Danio rerio: one gene and its partner. The protein of the gene in region 2 interacts with the protein of the main gene of each other region in a pairwise test. Links are inferred from orthologs where the notes say so. Each region holds a gene or a part of one and is shown on either strand. Other genes may lie near its edges.

Region 1 (17,473 bases), on a different chromosome or scaffold from region 2:
AATTTCAGAGACGTACCGATAACGCTATTTAATCATTATACTCACGCGAGGTCGGTGAAAAGGCGGGAAGAGTCGTGTATAAAGCGGCGCGTTCATAATAAGCTAAGCTATATTTTCTCCAGGTATTCCGCCATATTCTGGCTAAGGGCCGCGGTTGGACCAGCCAGTCTCTTCACGCATAAATAAACATTCCCCGATGCAACTACTTGAACAGAGTCACTTGTTTTGCTTTCCGGAACGACGAATGGCCAGCGCGAGCGTCGAGCACCATGAAATAGCAGCGTCTTGACGAAAAGTAATTATTAGCCCCACTGTGAAGATTCGGCCATCTTGGGTCCCCTCAGAAAGCCGCTACGGGGTTTCCTGGTTGCAGACGCAGGGCCGCCGCCACAGTTTAAAGACACAGTGCGCCAAAATGTCCAGCGCAGACAAACAGTGGTTTCGTAACACCACCAAACTCGCACTGCTGCTGCTGAAACGAGAGGGCTGTGGAGACTGGAAAGGAATGTGAATGAGGCTGAAAATACACGCGGACGCGCGCCTGCTGGAGCGCGCTGAAAGATTAACCTTGCTACTGTGTACAGTAAAATCAAATGCAGATGTTTAGGGTTGTTTCATTACCTTGTCACTGAGATCATACACAAATACATACTATAGTTTCTTGAACATAAGTCATCGTTATACGTTGGAAAAGCAAACTCTGCTGCACCATATCATCCTTATCCTGGGCAAAAAGGCCACTGTACCAGCTAAATCTCAAACCTCAAAGTCTTGACCAGTTGCACCACCAGCTCGTGGATTATATAAATGTAAATGAGGTGTTGATTATCTGTGCAAAACACATCATCACAATTTAAGTACTGATTCGACAGTGTATTTTGATATGTTGCCAGGTGGTGCATGATATATATATATATATATATATATATATATATATATATATATATATATATATATATATATATATATATATATATATATATGCATTTTGACTCTATTTACTTTCCAATAGATAAATATAGTGTTCTTTAGAAAGATGCAACCCCAACAACTGGGCTGTCATGCAAATCACAGCTTTTTAAATATTTTTTTCTGTCAGTATTTTTAAAAATGATACTGTAATTCTCTCTGTGCAAAATTACAAAAGATTTAGTGAAAACTTTGTTTGTTTTTTACATGTTTGGTCTATGAAATTTGAATTTAGATTTATTTATTTGAGAGGAACATCAAAAAGGAAACTTGAAAAGGAAAGATTTAGCAAAGTTGCTATTTTCCACATGCAGTCCCTGAACAGGTACATCTTAAAACAGTCAAATATATATATATATAGTTGAAGTCAGAATTATTAGCCCCCTTCAAAAAATGTTTCTTCTTTTTTAAATATTTCCTAAATGATGTTTATCAGAGCAAGGAAATTTTCACAGTATCTCTGATAATATTTTTTCTTCTGAAGAAAGTCTTATTTGTTTTATTTTGGCTAGAATAAATGCAGTTTTTAATTTTTTTAACACCATTTTAGGGACAAAATTTTTAGCACCTTTAAGCTATATTTTTTCTCGATAATCTACCGAACAAACCATCATTGTACAATAACTTGCCTAATTACCCTAACCTGTAGTTAACCTAATTAACCTAGTTAAGCCTTTAAATGTCACTTTAAGCAGTATAGAAGTGTCTTGAAAAAGACCTAGTAAAATATTAATTACTGTCATTATGACAAAGATAAAATAAATCAGTTATTAAAACTATCATGTTTAGAAAAGTGTTGAAAAAATCTGCTCTCTGCTAAACAGAAATTAGGAAAAAAATAAACAAGCGGTCTAATAATTCAGGGGGGCTAATAATTCTGTCATCAACTGTATATATTTATATTTTCATTTAAACTCGGATATGCATAAGCAAGTACTTAAATCAACTTGAGCTTAAAGTGAAACCACCATCTACCGGCCTGGCATGATCACCTGGCATGTTTAACACATTAGTCTTCATCAACAAGATGGTTTTGATGTCAAAAATGCAAAGAAAACTGTGTTTGCATTCACAATTGTTTATTACAATCAACTGTAACTCACATTTATAATTGCAATCATTTAGTCAACAGCTGAAGGACAGAACCAATTCTAGATATTCAACCATATTTGAATTGTTAGCTAACATACTATTTAATTTGTACATTTCGATATTAATTGCTTTCACCCAGTTGACCTTGATTTATTTTTTCTAAGTATTGGGGTCCAGGAGTCTTGTTGAAGATTCAAACAGACAAGTCACTTCATAAAAGTAGTTTTCTCAAAATATCTCAGTAAAAACTGAATCAACTTCCAAGAAAAAGAAGGGAAAAAAAGAGTTTTGTGACATTTCCCCAATATAAAAAGTAGAATTAAGAAGTCTACTAAATGTAACATTTATGCTAGATTGGGGTAAATCATAAATGTTACAAAATAAGAATTGCATTTTATTCTTACATTTATTTACAACAAGAATTATTGTGTCCAATGATTAAAGTGGTTCAGTCCAATCCTTAGTTACAGCTGCCATAAGACTGCTTGCAGTTCGTTAAACGTAACTTAGGTACTTTCCAAGAACAATGCAAGCTCACGGATCATGTAGCAAAAACAACAGAATAAAGCATGCCAGTCTAAAAGCTACTGCAACTAGTTGTTTGCCAATTAAACAACAATGCTTAATACAGTATTTTAGACAAAATGAAAATTTACTCACATGGTCCTTTAATTTCTTCATTTTAACACAAAACAAGATGTTATATGGAAAGTTGGAAACCAGCAGACATTGATATCCATATTAAAAATATACTATGAAAGTCAATGGTTGTTGCTTCCAAACGTTTTTTTTTTTTTTATTGCAATAACCGGAAATTACAATGAAATGAACAATACATACAATGCAAATATTACTTTTAACACAAACAGAGAATGACCAATTATAAAGTATTACAATGGTATGTCAAAGAGAAAGAAAAAATAAAATAATAAATTAATAAAAAGGAGAGGGCACATGAAAAAAACACAACAAAAATAAATGTATAATATTAAATAAAGCACATTTTAGAAGCTTTCTTGTTATGAGGATCTGAAATAGTATTTATTCTGTTTTTAAAAATACAAAAATTGGTTTACTTTTAGCACATGTAAGTATAAAAAAAACTTGCCAAATAATAATAATGATTAGGTTTACACAAAAACTTTAAGGAATTGTTTTTCTTTAATGTAAAATCCCAAAATAATGTCCATAGCTTAAAGAAAAACAACCATAAACCTTTTGATGTGGATTATTCACAACAGACCAGAAAGATTTAACAAATGGACATTCTCAAAATAAGTGAGCAACAGACTCAGAAGAAGTCTCAACTGCTTTCCAGTGTTCTTCAGGACACATTCATTTGTGAAACTCTGGAGTACGGGTAAATTATGGCAGAACTATCATTTGTGATGAGCTATTCCTTAAACAGGGCAAATGTTTCTTAAATTAAAATAAAGCGAGTGTCTTTTCCACAACACTATAGGTTTCACAGACATCAAAAAACTTTTTGTATGAGTATTTCTGAGAATAGCAAGTTCTTATTTAAACAATTAGCCCTGTAGCTGAAAAGCAAGACTTTCATGCTAGAGTACAGTACATTGTGCTTCTGGCAGTTGATAAACAGGATGGTCCTGATGTGATGTATAATTCTACATTTATCTCCCAATTAGAACACATCAGCTTCTTATAAACAAACATTGCATAATAAAGGAGATCTACATTAAGATATGAACTGATCTGGAGACTGACCGATGACAAGTGAATGGTGTGAAGATTTCATGAAGCATAGCAATGCATGCAAAATACACATTTTCATAATTGGGTATGTATTGGTGTTCATATTTTCTTTATCCTTTCTTTCTATGTATATATGCAGATGCTTGAATGGATTCTTGTGAATATGTGCATGTATTAATTATTCATCGAGGTTTATGATGGAGTAGCTGTACAATTGTGGGTGAACATTTGCATATACAGTTGAAGTCAGAATTATTAGCCCCCTGTTTATTATTTCTGTTTAACGGAGAGATTTTTTTCCAACACATTTCTAATCACTGATTTATTTTATCTTTGCCATGATGACAGTACATGATATTTGACTAGATGTTTTTCAAGACACTTCTATACAGCTTAAAGTGACATTTAAAGGCTTAACTTTAACTAGGCAGGTTAGGGTATTTAGGCAAGTTCTGTAGACTATCGAAAAATATAGCTTAAAGGGGCTAGTAGAAAAAAAAAAATTACTCTAGCCAAAATACAAATCAAATAAGACTTTCATCAGAAAAAATATTATCAGACATACTGTACAAATTTCCTTGCTCTGTTAAACAATTTGTGAAATATATAAAAAAGATAAAAATTAAAGGGACGCTAATTATTATGACATCAACTGTATGTATTTAGAATTTAAATATGTTTATTATCATAATTTGGCATGGTTGTTTAAAAAAATATATAACTGATGTATTTACATTTTCAAATGACTAAAGAGAAAAGACACTGACAACATTTCAACTGGCACATATAAAAATGCAAAATACATTATATGTCACATACACTTCCTATTAAAACATGCAAATGACCATGAGCTCTGAAATCCTTAATGCCATTTGTTGTTAAAGAAATAATTAAGGTAAATGTAGGATACAGACAAGAATTTGATTCAAAGGCAGTTGTATACAGCAGTGTTTCTCAACAACGTTCCCAGAAGACCACCAACACTGCATGTTTTGAATGCATACTTTCTGTCACACACTACATTTCTGTCAGTCTCTTCTAATGGGCTGATGATCTGAATCTGGTGTGTTTGGTTAAGGAGGCATGTAAAATGTACAGAGCTGGTGGTCCTCCAGAAATGTGGTTGAGAAACACTGGTAGACGGTGTATAACGCTGTTGCAGATGTTTGAAGTGTCTTCAGTGTCACATGAACCTTCAGAACTCTACATATATATTTTTGGTTAAGTTAAAAAGAACAGCATTTAAAAAAATAATAATAATCTTTTTAAACATTATAAAAACTACACCAATTCTATGTGCCACTGCTGAAAATTATTTCTGTCTCTAACCTTATGATTCTTAAAGAGCCCATATTATACATGAAATAGGGTCATATCTTGGTTGTAAGGGTCTCCAACAACAGTTTAATATGCATGCAAGGTCAAAAAACACTTTCATGGTCTTATAATCTGCATTTATTTTTACCTAATTATCCCAGCGACTCCTGTATGAATCGTTCAGGGATTCATTTGTTCCCAAACCCCTCCTTAGCGCGAAGCTAATCTGCGCTGATTGGACCGATGACAGTCTGTTGCGATTGGTCGACTGCCTTCAGTCAGAGAATGAAATGCCAAACAGCTAATCAGCAATATAAAAGTAATCACAGTTCATACACGCTAGATAGTGTAGGCGTTGATTTTAGCTGCCAGTGGGTCAATGTAAATACAGACTATGGACTTGAAAATACAGACGACTGACTATTTTATTGAACAAAAACTCCAAAAACAGTTGAGGAGATCTCCTAGCTTCTCACTCTGCTCTTTTCACAGACACACACACACACACACACACACACACACACACACACACACACACACACACACACACTCACACTTAACCCTGCTCCGGACGACAACGCGCGCGCACACACACACACACGCACACACACAAACACACACACAAACACACACACCTCCGGACGACAGCGCGCGCACGCACACACAGACACACACACTAACGTTACTCCCCGTCCACGGAGCTCCGTTAACGCAGCACGCGTCGCGTTTTTAACGTGACTTTGCACACTATAAGAGAATATAGCCAGTTAACCTCATACAGTACACGCGGTTACAAGTAACAAATCACAACTAAATACATTTGCAAGCTAGAGTCAACGAGGCAACTTTAATCGCACGTACTTACACTTGAGAAATGGAGGAAGAAACCCATCCTGACGTCTATCAGTAAGTTACTGATCCTTCCTTTAACAAACGCTGATGAAGTATTCTTTGTAGCATGTAGCTTCCAGAAGTTTCCAGTAGTTTCCAACTGCTTGGCTATAATGCTGAGGTTTCATCTTTGGGTAGAGACTCAATATATCCATCTGCAGTGTGACTTCAATCGACCGGCATGTTTGTGTGTGTGTGTGTTTGTGGGTGTGTGTGTGTGTGTGTGTGTGTGTCTCGGTTTCTGCGTCAGAGGGCGGGGCCTCAGGTTTGAAATCTCCCGGGTTTGCGCGTGCACGTGAATAACTTGGTTTCGTTCGTACGTCATGGCGAAACACCTAATGAATCCGTATCAAGGCGACTCGTTTGAAGCACTATGAGTCGACTCTTTTTTAGATGAATCAACCGTTTTTAACACTGTACACTAACAGATTTAAGCCTTAGCTGGATACTCCACTTCACTTAGAGCTGTGTTACACACTACATGGAGGGGAATTTTCAAAAACCCATAATATGGGCTCTTTAGGCTAAGAAAAAAAGAAAAAAGCACTGACATTTCCACGTTTTTTGAGAAGAATTTTATTGTTTGCCAGTTTTTACTACTGGATGCACAAATCAGAGAGGGCCAACAAAACCTTTAACAACACAGAGGACAAAAGTTGGGATATAAGAATAACTCGGAACCATCTCAACAACATCTGAAATGTGTAAATGTTATACTTTACTAAATCAAAAATAAATCCACAATATAAAACATCATTAATTGGGAGGGATCGGGAGCAACAACAACGAAAAAAATCCTAAAACTTTTCTTTCCCCAATATTACCCTCTAGCCCGATAAATAACCCAAGTCCCGAACTCCGAAGTTACAAAAATGTGATTTAAAATGCAAAATATTTTCACTCTATGCTTTTGACATAACTCAAAGGACATGCATTCAACAAAATCTGAACCAGTTGGCATCAATTCACTGTTCAGTTCAGCCACGTCTGTCCTGTGATGAAGCGTAGTTGGGGACTAGTTCAATAATTCCACCGTCTTTATTTTCCAGCCTGTTGGGCCTGACGCCTCAACAGCACATAGATCTTTTCTTTGATCCAGTCTTTGTTGTAAGGCTGGTAGGTTTGTGTGTCCGCTCTGTACCTGTTCAAATAATTAAAGACAATTGTACATGATTGACGAGCATGAGCATTTAATAGGCCCTGTTTACACCGATATGTTTTAGTTTTAAAACGGCAATTAACAACAAAAACTATCCACATCCACACTGGCCATTTGCCTAGAATTTCGCCAAGGAGGAGAGATAATAGTACAGTCTTTTTGAGATACAGTCATACAGTCTTTTTGAAAGCAACATTTTTTGTCATCCTTACTGCAAACTTATATGAGCGATAATATCATTAAATGTTGAGGATGGCCTCACTATATTTTCCAGCAGAAAAGGGGGTCTCAGGCAAAAAAGGTTGGAAACCTATGGGTCTACAGGCTCCGTTTTCTTATAAATATGCATACTGTGAAGATGACAGTAATACAAGTATGTAGCTATACGATGCCTGAACATTTTTGGTGTCTATTTAAATCCTTATATCATGTTTTCATTGATTTTTTAAGATAGTGAAGCAGCGTAGTCAGAGTGACATGAATGACTATATGAACGCTGTGATTGTTATAAAGTACACTGTTCCCATTGAAAATTTACCCGACGTGTCCTCAGGAGGTAGTTTTCCATATAAAACTTGCAAAGTCTGAACTTTCAAGGAAAGGATGCAAGACTGAACTTAATATTGCATTTAATATTGGGAAAAGGCCTGAATCCGATCCGTTTTGAGCCTCTATTTTTCAGCAGTATTTTAACACTTTAACTTCCCCACCAAGAACTTTTTCTTGGGATTGCATTTCTTAAATTCTAAAGTTAACACACTCGATGCATTTTTTCCCCATCACATCCCATAATTTTAAAAATATCAACCGCTACCAAGTGGATAATATGTTGGTTTATGGTAAAAGTACTAAGAATCAATACACATACTATAAAAATTCTAAAAACATGAAGTGTAAGACTAATTTATAACAATATGACTCATTTTAAAACAATTTAAATAAAACATTTTAAATACTGAATCATCTTTATTTTTTTAAGTATGCCATACAATATTTCTTATTATTAAATAATTCAAGATTTCTTTTTTTTGCTTTTTACAATAAAATCAAAACTAAGTGTAGTAGTGCAAGAGGATTATGTTTGTTAGATTTTTTGTAAAGCAACAATGCTGTTTGTGTAAACCTTAATTTAAAACAATCAAAATATGGTCAACCATTTGATAGAGCAGACAGTTAAAGGGTTAACACAAAAGCGACCTCTTCAGCATTTCCAAAACACTCCGCTTTCAATGATCTAAAACTCTGGGGTAATCTGAACGGAAGACGTCACTGTAGCAAAACTTATGCGTTTTAAAACTAAAACTTTTTAGTGTAATCGGGACCTTAGACATTAGGCTTTGTCAAGTGAAAAGTGTGATTACTTACACAAGACAGCTGAGATCGGCAAGATCATCAACAAAGTCGAATAACTGGCTTATGTCATATGTGATGGAGGGACTGTTGGGATTCATTCTCTTCAGATGCTCTTCATACATCTTACACACTCCTTTTGGTAAGAAGGAAAATGGTTAAACACGCATTAAAAGTAGTAGTGCAATATTCAGTGTACAATAAAGATAGTTCACCCCAAAAAAAATTTGTTTTCTCTTCACAGTTACAAAACCAGTTTGAGTTTCTTACTTTCTGAAGACATTTTAAAGAGAGGTGAAATCCTAAAGCCACTGACTTCCATAGTTTTTGTTTTTTCTACTATGGTCAATAGTTCAATTTTTGGGTGAACTATCCCTTTAAAGCATTATAATTGTTTATAACACACACAAAGAAAAGAATTATCCTACCTTCCATACATTCGTTGACAGACTCATAATCTGCATATGTTCTGCCTTCTGGTCTCTTGGTGGGCTGCACCAGCAGAATTGTGTGAGACTGAACGATAATAAAGAAAAAAACATTTTATTGTGTTTATATCATAAATCAAGTAAAAGTTAGAAACACTACATATCTAGACGACGAATTAAACAATTGCGTGGAGCCCCCTACTGACAGGAACACAGCTTTGGCTCCTGACAGTGAGATTAATCGTGCGTTCATTTCAAAAACATGACGTGTTGTTTAGTTATTCATGTTTGACGTATGAACTAAATACACTTTGGGAATATAACGTTAGCTGATATGGATGCTTTGACACAATACCCAGAAAACAGCAGCTGTTGTACTCGAACCCTCCCCCAAACTAAAACACTACATGTTCCTCACAAACACTGATATTACCAATACTGAAGCTGAACAGGAGTTTGTTCCGGTCGAACTTTCAACAAAGAACCTAACTTTGCATGTGTGGTATTTCGAGACACATGAAAGCTCGCTGTGTTGAGGATTATTCGACGTTCTCTCGTAACACACTGCTAGCCGCGCGCGTTCGTTCACTTTTATTTTTGTTGAATGTGTTGGAGCAGTCGGTGAAACGCGATTTTTCTGATATGGTGGCTGTCTAAGGATATATACGAGTAGAAAAAACATCGACAAAATACTTACCATATCTGGTCCTGATGTATAAAAGTGGCGTTGAACGCTGGGGTAACCACTGACGGCTATTCACTGTTAGCAGCGAAGGAAACAGCAGGAATGTTCAAGAAACGATCACACTTCCGGTGTAGGCGAAGCGTTGGCTTTTCAAGATAAAAGCTTTTTCACTGTTACGGAAATGGTATTTATTTTTGTCGTTAATGACATTACTTATAATTTTTACTTCATATTTTGTATTCATTATTTTGATGTAATATTCAAATGACTGCAAGTGAAAAAGAAGTCAGCCTATTTACTATTATTTATGGATAAACGATGTATATAAGACTTTGCAATACTGTTTACAAATATTTGTTTAAATTTTGTACACACACACGTACACACACACACACACACACACACACACACACACACACACACACACACACACACACACACACACACACACACACACACATAAATAAAAATTAAATATTAGAAATAGGCTTTACAATATTATTTACAAATATTTCTATATTTAAATTTTTATAATTTAATGATTTTATTTTATTTATCCTGTAATTTTAACCTACATCACAAATACATAGTATAGTTTTTATCATCAAAATGTTATATCTGTAACAATGGTTTACAAAATTATAAATTCTTATTGTCACACATTTGTACCTAATTTATATATATTTTTAATTTAATAATAAAAAAATAATAATAATTTTAGGGTCAGTATTATTAGCTTACTTGTGATATAGATGTGAATTATTAGCATTTTGTTTTTGATTGATTGCTTGTCTTGATAACTTGTCGAATGTAAAACTAATAAATAACTTTTGATAAGCCTTTAAATCGTAGTTTAAAAGTACTGTATGTTTTGACTCTTCTAAAGCATAAAAATACTATAATATGTTTGCAGATGTTTAGTAAACATGCCACATGAACATTCTTGTTTATCTGAAAAACAATGTTAAAGTCAGATATTCTGCTTTGTAAATGTAAGTTATGTGCCGGAACGTCTGTCTCTGTTTTGGTTATTTTAACCCACCTATTGCAACTTTAGATTATATTTTAGCACCCCGGGTTGCCTTGGTGAAAAACGGAGCAATTCATTCATTCATTCATTCATTCATTCATTCATTCATTCATTCATTCAGTAACTCATTCATTCATTCAGAAAGGCTCTCAAAGCATGGTTCCATGACCACAACGCTACCTCCGTGAGAAAGTAGCAGACTCTGGAATGAGACGCAGATTCAGTTCCACATGAGGTTATTAATTTGCAAATAATATAAATATTACGAGTGTAAACATTAGGTGAGCAGGTTACATTGTAACCGCATGCCCTAACAACATGCTACATGACAAGATTAGTAGTTATTAGCAATTTAGCTGTTTGCACCAGAAGAAACATGAAAGAAATTTAAATAAAGACATTTAGAGGCACAGAATATGTACTCACTCATGAAAAGGTAAGTTTTAAAAAATCTATTTAATACATATTAAACCTCTTTGACATTATTAAATGTAGATGCTGAATCACTCATTTGTGTTGTCTTGCACTGAGTCACAATTCTAAAGTTCAATCAGTTTATTTTATTTTCAATATCTGAGGTGAACTATCTGCTGCTGCTTTCAGTATATGGCAATAGATGTCATGTAAAATGCCATCCAAACTCACATTGTTAACATTTAACACTGAATAAAGCACATGAGGTGACCATTGTCAAAGTTTTCTGTTGTTCAGCTGCAAGATATAGAAACTGTTTCTAATTTATCAATTGAAGGAGTTTGTTAGGACAAAATAAATGAATAATATTCCTTCTATCCTTCTATTACGTAGCTTTTGTATAGAACGCAGTTTAAATCAGCCTTTAGGCTAGACAGTCAGACTCGCCTGTATTGGTCGTCACTCTAATAACCTGCGCATGCGTTTGTTTTGATCCAGGAATGTAATACAGCTCAATAAATTTACATACTGCACCTTTGCAAAGTATAAAAGCATCTTTCAAAATAACTAAAAGATTCTGTCAGCACATACAAAGACAAAAGTTTTAAAGCATGTTGGAAGATGATCGCCTCTTCATTAAACGTCACTTAATATTTGAATAAATATAAATATTTGAAACTATTTAATAATTTTATTAAATGTAATAATAACAAATATAATAATAATATATAATCTATCTATCTATCTATCTATCTATCTATCTATCTATCTATCTATCTATCTATCTATCTATCTATCTATCTATCTATCTATCTATCTATCTATCTATCTATCTATCTATCTATCTATCTACACCCACCCATCCATCCATCCATCCATCCATTCATCTACATGCAAGATTAGATATATTCAAGTTAATTCTTCAGTGCAGTTGGTTTGTGTTAACACTTTAATGGCTTAGGAAGAGTATACAACCAAAGTACTTACACCGAAACATAAAAAGAAAGGAAATTATCTTTAGCTTTGATGCAGTCATGTTTGATAAAGTGTTTCTCTCTCATCCCTTAAAAAAGCTTAGTTTAAACAAATCAATGCCAGTAGATGTCAGTATAAACCCAAGACTGCTTTCAAATCAGCACAATTGAAGTTTTATCTACATGTTTATGAGTTGGATTTGTCTGGACATTTATTATGCACGGGATCTCACTCTATAACCTCTGACATCGTAGATCACTCTCCTGGACGTTGGTTCTCTTCCTCTGACAGAAGCCTTACACGTCCGCTCGCACGCCACCTTGGAGACAAAGTTATTGCCATTTCCTTGGCATCCACCAAACCAGAACTGGGAGCAAGAGCCAGAGGAATGATCAAAGTAGAAGCGAGATTTATATTCATAACAGGGCCCGACATCTCGTGCCAAGGAGCACACACTAGCAGAGGGACTGTGATCCTGAAAACAAAAGCAAAGACGTGTTTATATAATTAGATGAAATTATATGATGAGAGGAAAACTGACAGGGAAAATTAAATGAGCTGTTTTACCCCATAGGAGGAGTCAGGACATCCCGCTCTTCTGTAACCCAGAGCAGCTGTTATTCCATCCAGACAGCAGCCGTATCTTTCATCACACACACACACACACACGTTCAGTTCACTGGTTTGATCCTGAATATATCCAAATCTGGCCTTAATAAAAATCCAGTTCATTGCTGTTCACTACTGTTTTATTTAATTATATCACTTAGTCACCCATATGTCATCTATATACTCCCTATAACTGTATGACTTTCTTTCTTCTGTGGAACATAATGCAAACTATTTTAAAGGATATTTTTCAGTTTTGGTTTCCGTTTTTTGCTTAAACCTTTTCTTTAGTGATGGAAACCGTTCTGAATAATCATTCTAAAGTAAAAGTACAACTACTTACCCAAAAATGTAATGCAAGTAGAGTTAAAGTACCTGTTTTAAGTATTAAAGTATGAGTAAACAGTAGCCCTTTCGAAAGTACTCAAGAGTAGTAAGTAGTGAGTATAACGCTGGGAAAGTTTGAAGCACTTACATGTAATTTGTGAATGTGTGTGTGTGTGTGTGTGTGTGTGTGTGTGTGTGTGTGTGTGTGTGTGTGTGTGTGTGTGTGTGTGTGTGTGTGTGTGTGTGTGTGTGTGTGTGTGTGTGTGTGTAAACGTAACATTCTGTAGTGCATTTAGTTGAAGTTTAAGGCCATTTCGGTTATCATACAGGAAACATCTGTCTTTTTCTCATTGACATTCAGTCTAAACAGTCTCTGGGTCATTGTATGTCTTCTTGGACACTTACTGCTTCCAGTTTGCTGGAAGACTTAAGGTAGATCAGTATGATGCGATTTACTTTCTATGTGTGATATGATTAGACAGGAATCGCAGTGCAGGACTGATTTTTCTAATCCACTGACAGGAAATAATTAAAAGTAGTGACTGCAGATTGAGGGAAAGTAGTAGAGTAAAAGTACCAATGCTGCACTAAACATTTACTTAAGGGAAAGTAAAGTAACTTAGTAAATGAAAATTCATTAGAAAAACTACTTCATTTCAGTAATCTGAGTATTTGCAATTTGTTACTTTACACCACTGTTTGTCTTAAACCAAATTGTTTGGTCAGAATTATTGAACATATTTTGTTTCCTCTGATTCTATTTTAATGATAATGTCTGAGGCTCAGACACACTCTCTCAGTTCATAAATAGATTAAATAACTATCTTTTTAGTAAAGCATACACACAGTGCATCACACAACGGTATGATGTATGAGCGTGCTCCACGCAGGTGAGTGTGCTTGACAAACTACCCTTAGAACACACTCTGCTTATCTAAATGCAACTGACATTTTGTTAGAAACACTCATGTGCCTTACATGTTTGTTTATATAACTGCTATTTTTATTTATAGCACTTAATTTTAGGCATGAACAGCAGCTACGCTAATTATTTTATTTATTCTCAATTTCCACCTGGGGATAATGACCCCAAGGTCTCTAGAGATTATGCAGCGCCATTAATGCGATCCAAGACCTGTGAAGAAATGATGCCAAGGTATCCATAATCCTGGACCAGGCCGTATCCTGAGCAGATGCTGTGGTGGTCATGGAGGAATGGAGAGCATGAGACTGATTCCTGAAAGACCACAGTGACAGACGAGTCTTTGCATTGATCGCGTGGGCCAGCCTGAACACCCACCAGTGACCTATTTATACCTGCAGCTTTTTCACAATATACATTGTTCTACAGCCTCCAACACCTAGACTGCAGCTCTGCACAAGAAGTTTGGTCAGAGGAGAAATGGTTGTGCCCAACTGAGCCTGTTTTTTTTCTCGAGGTTTTTTTCCTTCACTTTTGTCAATTGGTGGAGTTTGTTCCTCGCCATTGGCTTGATTGGTTTGGGACTTGTGGAGCTGCACATCAATGGACTTGCTCTTCAGTTGTTTGGACGTCCAGCAGTGAAATTTAACCACACTGAACTTAACTGAACTGTATTTTAACTCTGAAAACTGGACTGACAGGGTTTCAATTTACTAAACCTCTATGTTAAGCTGCTTTGAGGAAATCTACATTGTATTAGCGCTATAGAAATAAACATGAATTCGACTGAACTGAATATTATTTATGTTTCAATGATTTTGTTCCATATAACAGATCTCAGCTAAGAATTATGTTAAGCAATCAGTTGTGGTTTACAGTTAAAAAAATATAAACATTTATTTATTTATTTAAATTTTTGGTCCATAAAATGGTAGTCAATGATAACCAAATCTGTTTAGTCAAGAATGTTAATAACCAATTATTTTTGATTGTCGTTGACTTCCATTCAAAAAAGAAAATAGTTTGTTTATCAACATTTAACAACAAACACTTTTTGTTCCCAAGTCAGTGTAAACTAGAAGTTGCTAAGACTTTTATTTTAGTATTTTGATGTATGCAGCAGCACAGTGGATTATTGGTTAGTTCTGCATGTTCTCCATGTGTTCGAGTGGGTTTCCTCCCGATGTTCCGGTCTCCCCCACAGTCCAAAGACATGACCGAAAAGTTAATTCGATTAACTAAATTGGCTATAGTGTATGAGTTTATGTGTGAATGTGAGAGTGTATGGGTTTTTCCCTGTACTGGGTTACAGCTGGAAGGCCATCCGATGGGTAAGACAAATGCTGGAATGGTTGGCGGTTCATTTTGCTGTGGTGACCCCTAATAAATAAGGGGCTAATCTGAAGGAAAATAAATAAATGAATGTTGACGTACTTCCAACTGAAACACAATATTTAAAAGGAACAGGGCTTTCTTTTTGTGCATCATTCCCTCATAGCAAACTAATGGTAGGAGTGGCATGGTTAAATTTATTGTGACTGAACAGAGAAGGATTACCACGCAGAAGCAAATGGTCAGAGTTTGATTGAAGATTACAAAAACAAACTTTTTTTTTCAGTGGATTCATTTGCAAAGATTAATGGTTCACCTAAACAATAAGTAAATACAAATTCAAATGGAACATTTTTGTCCATACTATGTAAATTAATTGCTCTGTTATGTTCCACAGAAGGAAAAAATCTTTTGGAATAATACAAGCATCTTTTTTTGGAAGAGAATAGAGGGTAATTCAACGATTTATTTTATGGCATTCCAATCTATTTATCTATATATCTACAAATTGACTTGTGTCAGTATTAAATTTTATGTGTTTGTATGTATATGTTGGCACCTGGATCTCTGGCAGTCATCATGAGCACAGCCTTCTCCACGAGGCCCAGAGGCTGTAGTGTGGCCATCAGGACAGCAGCCGTAATGAGACTGAGCGCAATGAGGACCAGTCACTGTGGGATAAGGATCGCTTGGTCTGTAAACTACAGTGCAAATATCAGCAAATGCAACAAAATATATGCATATGATAAATAGTTAACACTTTACAATAATGTTGTATTGGTTAATATTGGTTAATGCATTTACTAACATGAACAAACATTCATTCATTCATTCAGTTTCTTTTCAGCTTAGTGCATAAATTAATCGGGGGTCGCCACAGTGGAATGAACCGCCAACTTATCCAGCAAATGTTTTACGCAGCGGATGCCCCTCCAGCCGCAACCCATCTCTGGGAAACATCCATACACAGACAATTTAGCCTACCCAATTTACCTGTACCGCATGTTTTTGGACTGCGGGGGAAACCGGAACACCTGGAGGAAACCCACGCGAATGCAGGGAGAACATGCAAACTCCACACAGAAACGCCAATGACCCAGCCAAGGCTCGAACCAGTGACCTTCTTGTTGTGAGGTAACAGCACTACCTACTGTGCCACTGCTACACCCATGAAGAAACAATGAACAATATTCATTCATTCATTCAGCAGAATGAATCACCAATTATTCCGGCATATGTTTTACACAGCGGATGCTCTTCCAGCCGCAACCCATTACTGGGAAATACACACTCATTCACACACACACACACACACACACTTATACACCACAGCCAATTTAGTTTATTCAATTCACCTATAGCGCATGTCTTTGGACTGTGGGGGAAACTGGAGCACAATGAACATTATATTTAATATAATATTTATTCATAGTTGATTAACATTAGTTAACAAGCATGAATTTGGATTTTTAACAATGCATTAGTAAATGTTAAACTATGATTAATAAATGCTGTTCATGTATTGTTCATTATTAGTTCAAGTTAGTAAATGCATTAACTAATGAAACCTTACTGTAAAGTTTGACCAAACATTATGGATAGACACAATAATTAAACAACTGCTTTATTTGTCACAGTCTTTTAACCTGATACTGGGCCGTGAGTGTAAGACACAAATCCACGCAAGGAGCTCTCGTAACCATTGGGGTTCTGCACACTGGGCACCGCTAAACCAAAGCAACACAATGAAAGAATCAGTACTTCATAACACAGAAGGATTTCTGCCAAAATATGAGGATATAACCTATAGGGGAAATATCTAGTTCTGAACATGCTAATTTATTATATTTATAACAAAATATATTTTTGTTGTACCCATCATTAGAATACAGCTGGATAAATGTACACACACATCAATATAATACATCTGCATATTAGTTTATTTAATAACCAATCTGTTTTCTACTGTTTATTATTTGAAACCTTTTTATTTTTAATAGTTTTAAATTATATATATTATTATATTTTGTTAATGAAAACTAAAATAGAGAGAAGATTCCATGAGCCAAAGAGAGAAATTTAAACGAATCATTACTGTCTTAACTGAAACTGCAGCAAATGGGGAAGTGAAAATTAATAAATAATTTAGATAAATATGTGTGTGTGGGATGACAAAAACCTTGTTAGTCTTTTTAACTTTTCATTTATACTCGGTAAAGTACCACAGTTTTTTTTTTAAAACTATTAAATATAAAAT
Region 2 (4,271 bases):
TGCGCTCTGATTGGACGTCGTAGGGACACTCCTCTTCAAGCTCAACCTATCACGTGCATCAACAACTTTTGTGATCCCGCCCCCTGGCTGTAAGGCCACACCCACTCTGGTGGTGAGTGTGTGTGCGCGAGGGCTGGTGTTGTGTATGTGTACGTGTGGGACCCCGGGGCCGCTGGGCCGGGCGGAGGCTGGGGCGGGGCCGCTGGCGGACGGCTGCTGCTGCTGCTGTTTGCGCAGGTTGATCATCAGCCGGGCGTCCTGCATCGCACTGGCCCCTCCCCCTCGGCTCTGCACAGCACTGGTCCCACCTCCTCGGCCCCGCAGCCGCAGCCGAGCGTCTTTCTGGCCCAGCTTCTCCCTGGCGTCCTTCACCGGAAACACTGACGGCCGCGACAGAGTCTGAACTGCAGCTCCGCTAGCCGAAATCTGGAGGCGTTTCCCCCCGCTGGCTCCACCCACTCCCAGCCTCTGTCTGACATCACCACTGCCAATCTTCTGCCGGGCATCAAAGGCCATGTTCAGTGGCCCCGCCCCTCTGCCATATACAGGCCTGTGGACAGACGACAACAGGAGTAAACCGTTACCTGGAGGCTAACGTTCACACACACACTGTGTGTTTAGTGATGTGTGTTTAGGCTCAGTCACTCGTTTTCTTTTCAGCTTAGTCCCTTTATTAATCAGGGGACACCACAGTGGAATGAACCGCCAACTTATCCAGCATCTGTTTTACACAGCGGATGCCCATCCAGCTGCAGCCCAGTACAGGGAAACACCCATACACACTCACTCATTTACACACACAAAACCCCGCCTCTGGTTTCATTTGATTGGAGAATAGGAAAATACATGACGCTTTTACCACTCAAGAGTTTACTTTTTTCAACTGCGAGTGCTCCGTACGCAACGACAATAACGCAAGGCGCAAAAGCAGCGCAAACACTCGCAGCCGTTAGTAAACCATTCAACAGATGCATCTCTCAACGCAAACGTGCGATCGCTGAAATCGGCCCCTTATACTGCCAAACGCTAAAAACATTACATAATATCTGTAAATCATTTAACTGACACCATTAATCGCTTACAAACACACCGGCTGCGTCACAAACCGCATACTTCCATACTATACAGTATGCTAAAATCAGTATGCGAGCCGAGTAGTATGTCTGAATTCATAGAATTCGAAAATCAGTATGCGAGAAGTACCCGGATGACTTACTACTTCCCGCGAGATTCTGAAGTGCGCATTCCATGCATGCTGCGCTATCCCATAATGCCCCACGAGAGAATTCATGAATGGGAGTAAAACGACGCAACTGACCCAGGTAGGTCATGTGACCATGACAAAATGGCGGATGTAGTACGTCCGAATTTCATTCATACTTCTCACATTCATACTGTATAGAACGCACTTTTCCAACGGCCGAGTCGTACGTTTATAATACAAATGCAGCACCTACTGAGTAGCAGATAACCACCTGTTCTGTTAACGGTTAATTGCTTATTATGAGCATCCCTAAACACAAGTGTGCACTACTGGTGGAGCATCTGACTGGATGTAAACCACAGGTCTCAAACTGGACTCCTGGAGAGCCGCAGCTCTGCTCCAACCCTGATCAAACACGGCTCATCAGGTGTTCGAGACTACTGGAGACGATTCAGCTGAGAGCTGGAGGTGTTGGAGCTAAACTCTGCAGAGCTGCGGCCCTCCAGGAGCTGAGTTTGAGACCCTTGGTTTGAATGGAGTGCCCTAAACCCTTGAGCACTTAGGAACTACACTGGTAAACGTCACAATCGCAGTGCATTCTGGGACATTAGAAGCTGACTCGGTCAAAATAGAGGGTATGTCCATGTAAGCTTCCCTCCTTCACTTGATGAAGTGCAACACACTGTAAAAAGGTGTTGGTGATTAACCATGAGGGAACAAGGGTAGGGAAGTTCGCGAGTGTGTGTCTAAAAGTGTAGTGGAACACAGCCCAGATGATGGACATGCTGCATCACAGCGCTTGTGCTTATCGACAGCATTTAACCCCTCAGGAGTAAACTAAGGGGGCTCCCTCTCCTCATAGTGTGCATGAGAAGTGTACTAAACATCCATAACAAAGACAACATTTCTCTAATCATCTCCTGCAACACATTAGCTGTATATTCCGTCAGGCCTGAGTGATGTCTTCATGGGCAGTTTGAATAATAACACACTGGTGTAAGCGCGGTCAGGCTGAGCTCTGTAAGCTCTGGCTGGTGTGTTCAGCACTCTTCACTGCTCCACACACACCGACTGCAGCTCACCGGTCGTTATTCTCCCTCAGATGACGCATGTTGTCGGTCGGCCGATCCACCGATAATCACCGGGAGACTCGGTTAGCATTAGCGGCGGTGGAGCAGACTCTCGGTTTGCGGATAGTAACACTATGATGGTCAAATACACTATGATGAGCGGATTAACTGTAATGTTCGAGGTTTGTTTGTATATAAAAAAAAACAGCAACGCGCAGGACGCCATGAATGACACGCGTCAGCCAATGAGAACACGAGCTGACGCGCGAGCGCGACACTTCAGCCAATCAGCGGAGGGTGAAGGCGGGATATCTCGCTAAGCAGAGTCTCTACAGACTCCACACGTCCTGCGATCATTAATAAACGAGCTTGTGTTGATCAATACAGGTGATCAGTAACTGCTGTGCGGAGCGCCCGGGCTGCTGTACCTCTTACTGGCTCCTCTCGCGGTAAAACTGCGCCGACGAATCACTTCATCCAGAGACAAGTCCGCCATATCTGCGCCTGCTGGTTCTCTGCGCACATCAACGCGCATGCGTTTCACTTTCATATGGGCGGGGCGAAGTGACGTGTGACGGACAGCGGAAAGGGTCAAAACACACCAAAGGGAAAACAAAACGCGAAAGGATTCATCCGCCGCCCTAACAATAGGGTATGCGGAGCTAGTGCTTCCTCCCATACTGATAAACTTCCGGTGAACGGTTAATGTGACTTTTTTTTATTTTATACGGCTCCTTTTACAGCACTGATGTTTTAAATGTAATTAAAATATAATCAGTTTAATAAACTTTGGCATTCATTTAGTTGCTCAAGCGTAAAACGAGACAGAAAGCCGTTTGCTCGCATGCACCCGTCAGGATCGGCAGGCTAGCGCTGAAGCTCCATTGAATAAACTGAGGTTAAATAAATGCTCGTGTTATAAAGACATGGCGGGGAAATGTAATGTAATGCAGTGTTTCTTGTACAATCTGAGATTTTTAAATTTTTTTAAAGAAAACAGACCTTAAACGCCCAGAGTTTGATCAGTTCAGCGGAAGCGCTTGACCCAGGTGACTGGCAAATTAAAAGTCCTCCCGCATACTTCCACATATACCCAATTATTTTATCAAGAGCGAATTCTGTAAGCAGTTAATTGAGCATATATAGGCGATTTCCTCCCTTATACACCGCGTTAGCAATAATAATACTATTTGTTCAGGTTATTGCTGTAATAATGGCTTAATGCTTGAAAATAAAGACAAAATGCAGTATAGTGTTGGTTAAAACACATTGTACACAGACAAGCTTTACTCATATATGAAGAACAGAGCTTAATGTGGATTAATGCAATAGGAATATTTGATGTATCTCTATATGTCACACTCCTACTGCCATCATGAGCGTTAGAATGAGCCGTCTTGGAGAGTTTGAAGATTTATTGATAACTTTACATAGAAACAGTCATTAAAAATTAAAGTAATACAGCCAGTGTGTGTAATTATGTATTTATTTCACCTCCAATCTGATGGAGAAACACAATAACACAAATATAATACCATGCAAATACTACAAAACATCACAGTTAACCCTTTTAAACCGGTACAGTTTAATAACCGTCATAACATCAGGGTTTATTTTTAAGGGAACAGTTTAACTCCGATATAGAAACTGAAGATCCAGTGATCATTCACTCTCCATATCCTCCATTTCCCAGACCTCTTTAAGTCTTTCTTCTGTTAAACATTAAAGAAGATATTTTGAAGAATGTTGGAATCCTGTACCCGCTGCCTTCCATTTGCTTTTCCTACAATGGAAAGTCAATGGTTACAGGTTTCCAACATTCTTCAAGATATCTTCTTCAGTGCTCAACAGAAGAAACTCATAAAGGTTTGGAACTACTTGTGAGATGAGCTATTCCTTTAACACCACCAACAGAAGTCATTAAATGACTATAGTGCAGACCCAGATGGCAGTCTCCATTTTAATCCGCTGCACATTTACACAAACAACAACAGGAG

What was found.
Region 1: the proteins of poldip3 (region 2) and erh interact in a two-hybrid assay, tested with the Homo sapiens proteins (2 studies listed by BioGRID, with this or other methods). The link is inferred for Danio rerio from reciprocal best matches to the Homo sapiens genes POLDIP3 and ERH.

What each region holds. Positions count from the first base shown.
Region 1 is NC_133195.1:36,354,758-36,372,230, forward strand, and holds erh (enhancer of rudimentary homolog), read right to left. Parts: upstream 9,754-17,473; 5' UTR 9,623-9,753; coding exon 9,620-9,622; intron 9,011-9,619; coding exon 8,923-9,010; intron 8,631-8,922; coding exon 8,510-8,630; intron 7,127-8,509; coding exon 7,024-7,126; 3' UTR 6,538-7,023; downstream 1-6,537. Other genes in the region: paplnb (papilin b, proteoglycan-like sulfated glycoprotein), read right to left, coding at 12,241-12,501, 12,594-12,669, 15,776-15,917, 16,863-16,943. UniProt on the Homo sapiens protein: May have a role in the cell cycle.
Region 2 is NC_133178.1:310,100-314,370, forward strand, and holds the start of poldip3 (polymerase delta-interacting protein 3), read right to left. Parts: upstream 2,801-4,271; 5' UTR 2,771-2,800; coding exon 2,703-2,770; exon of another isoform or gene 2,316-2,702; coding exon of another isoform or gene 2,287-2,315; intron 551-2,286; coding exon 1-550. UniProt on the Homo sapiens protein: Is involved in regulation of translation. Is preferentially associated with CBC-bound spliced mRNA-protein complexes during the pioneer round of mRNA translation. Contributes to enhanced translational efficiency of spliced over nonspliced mRNAs.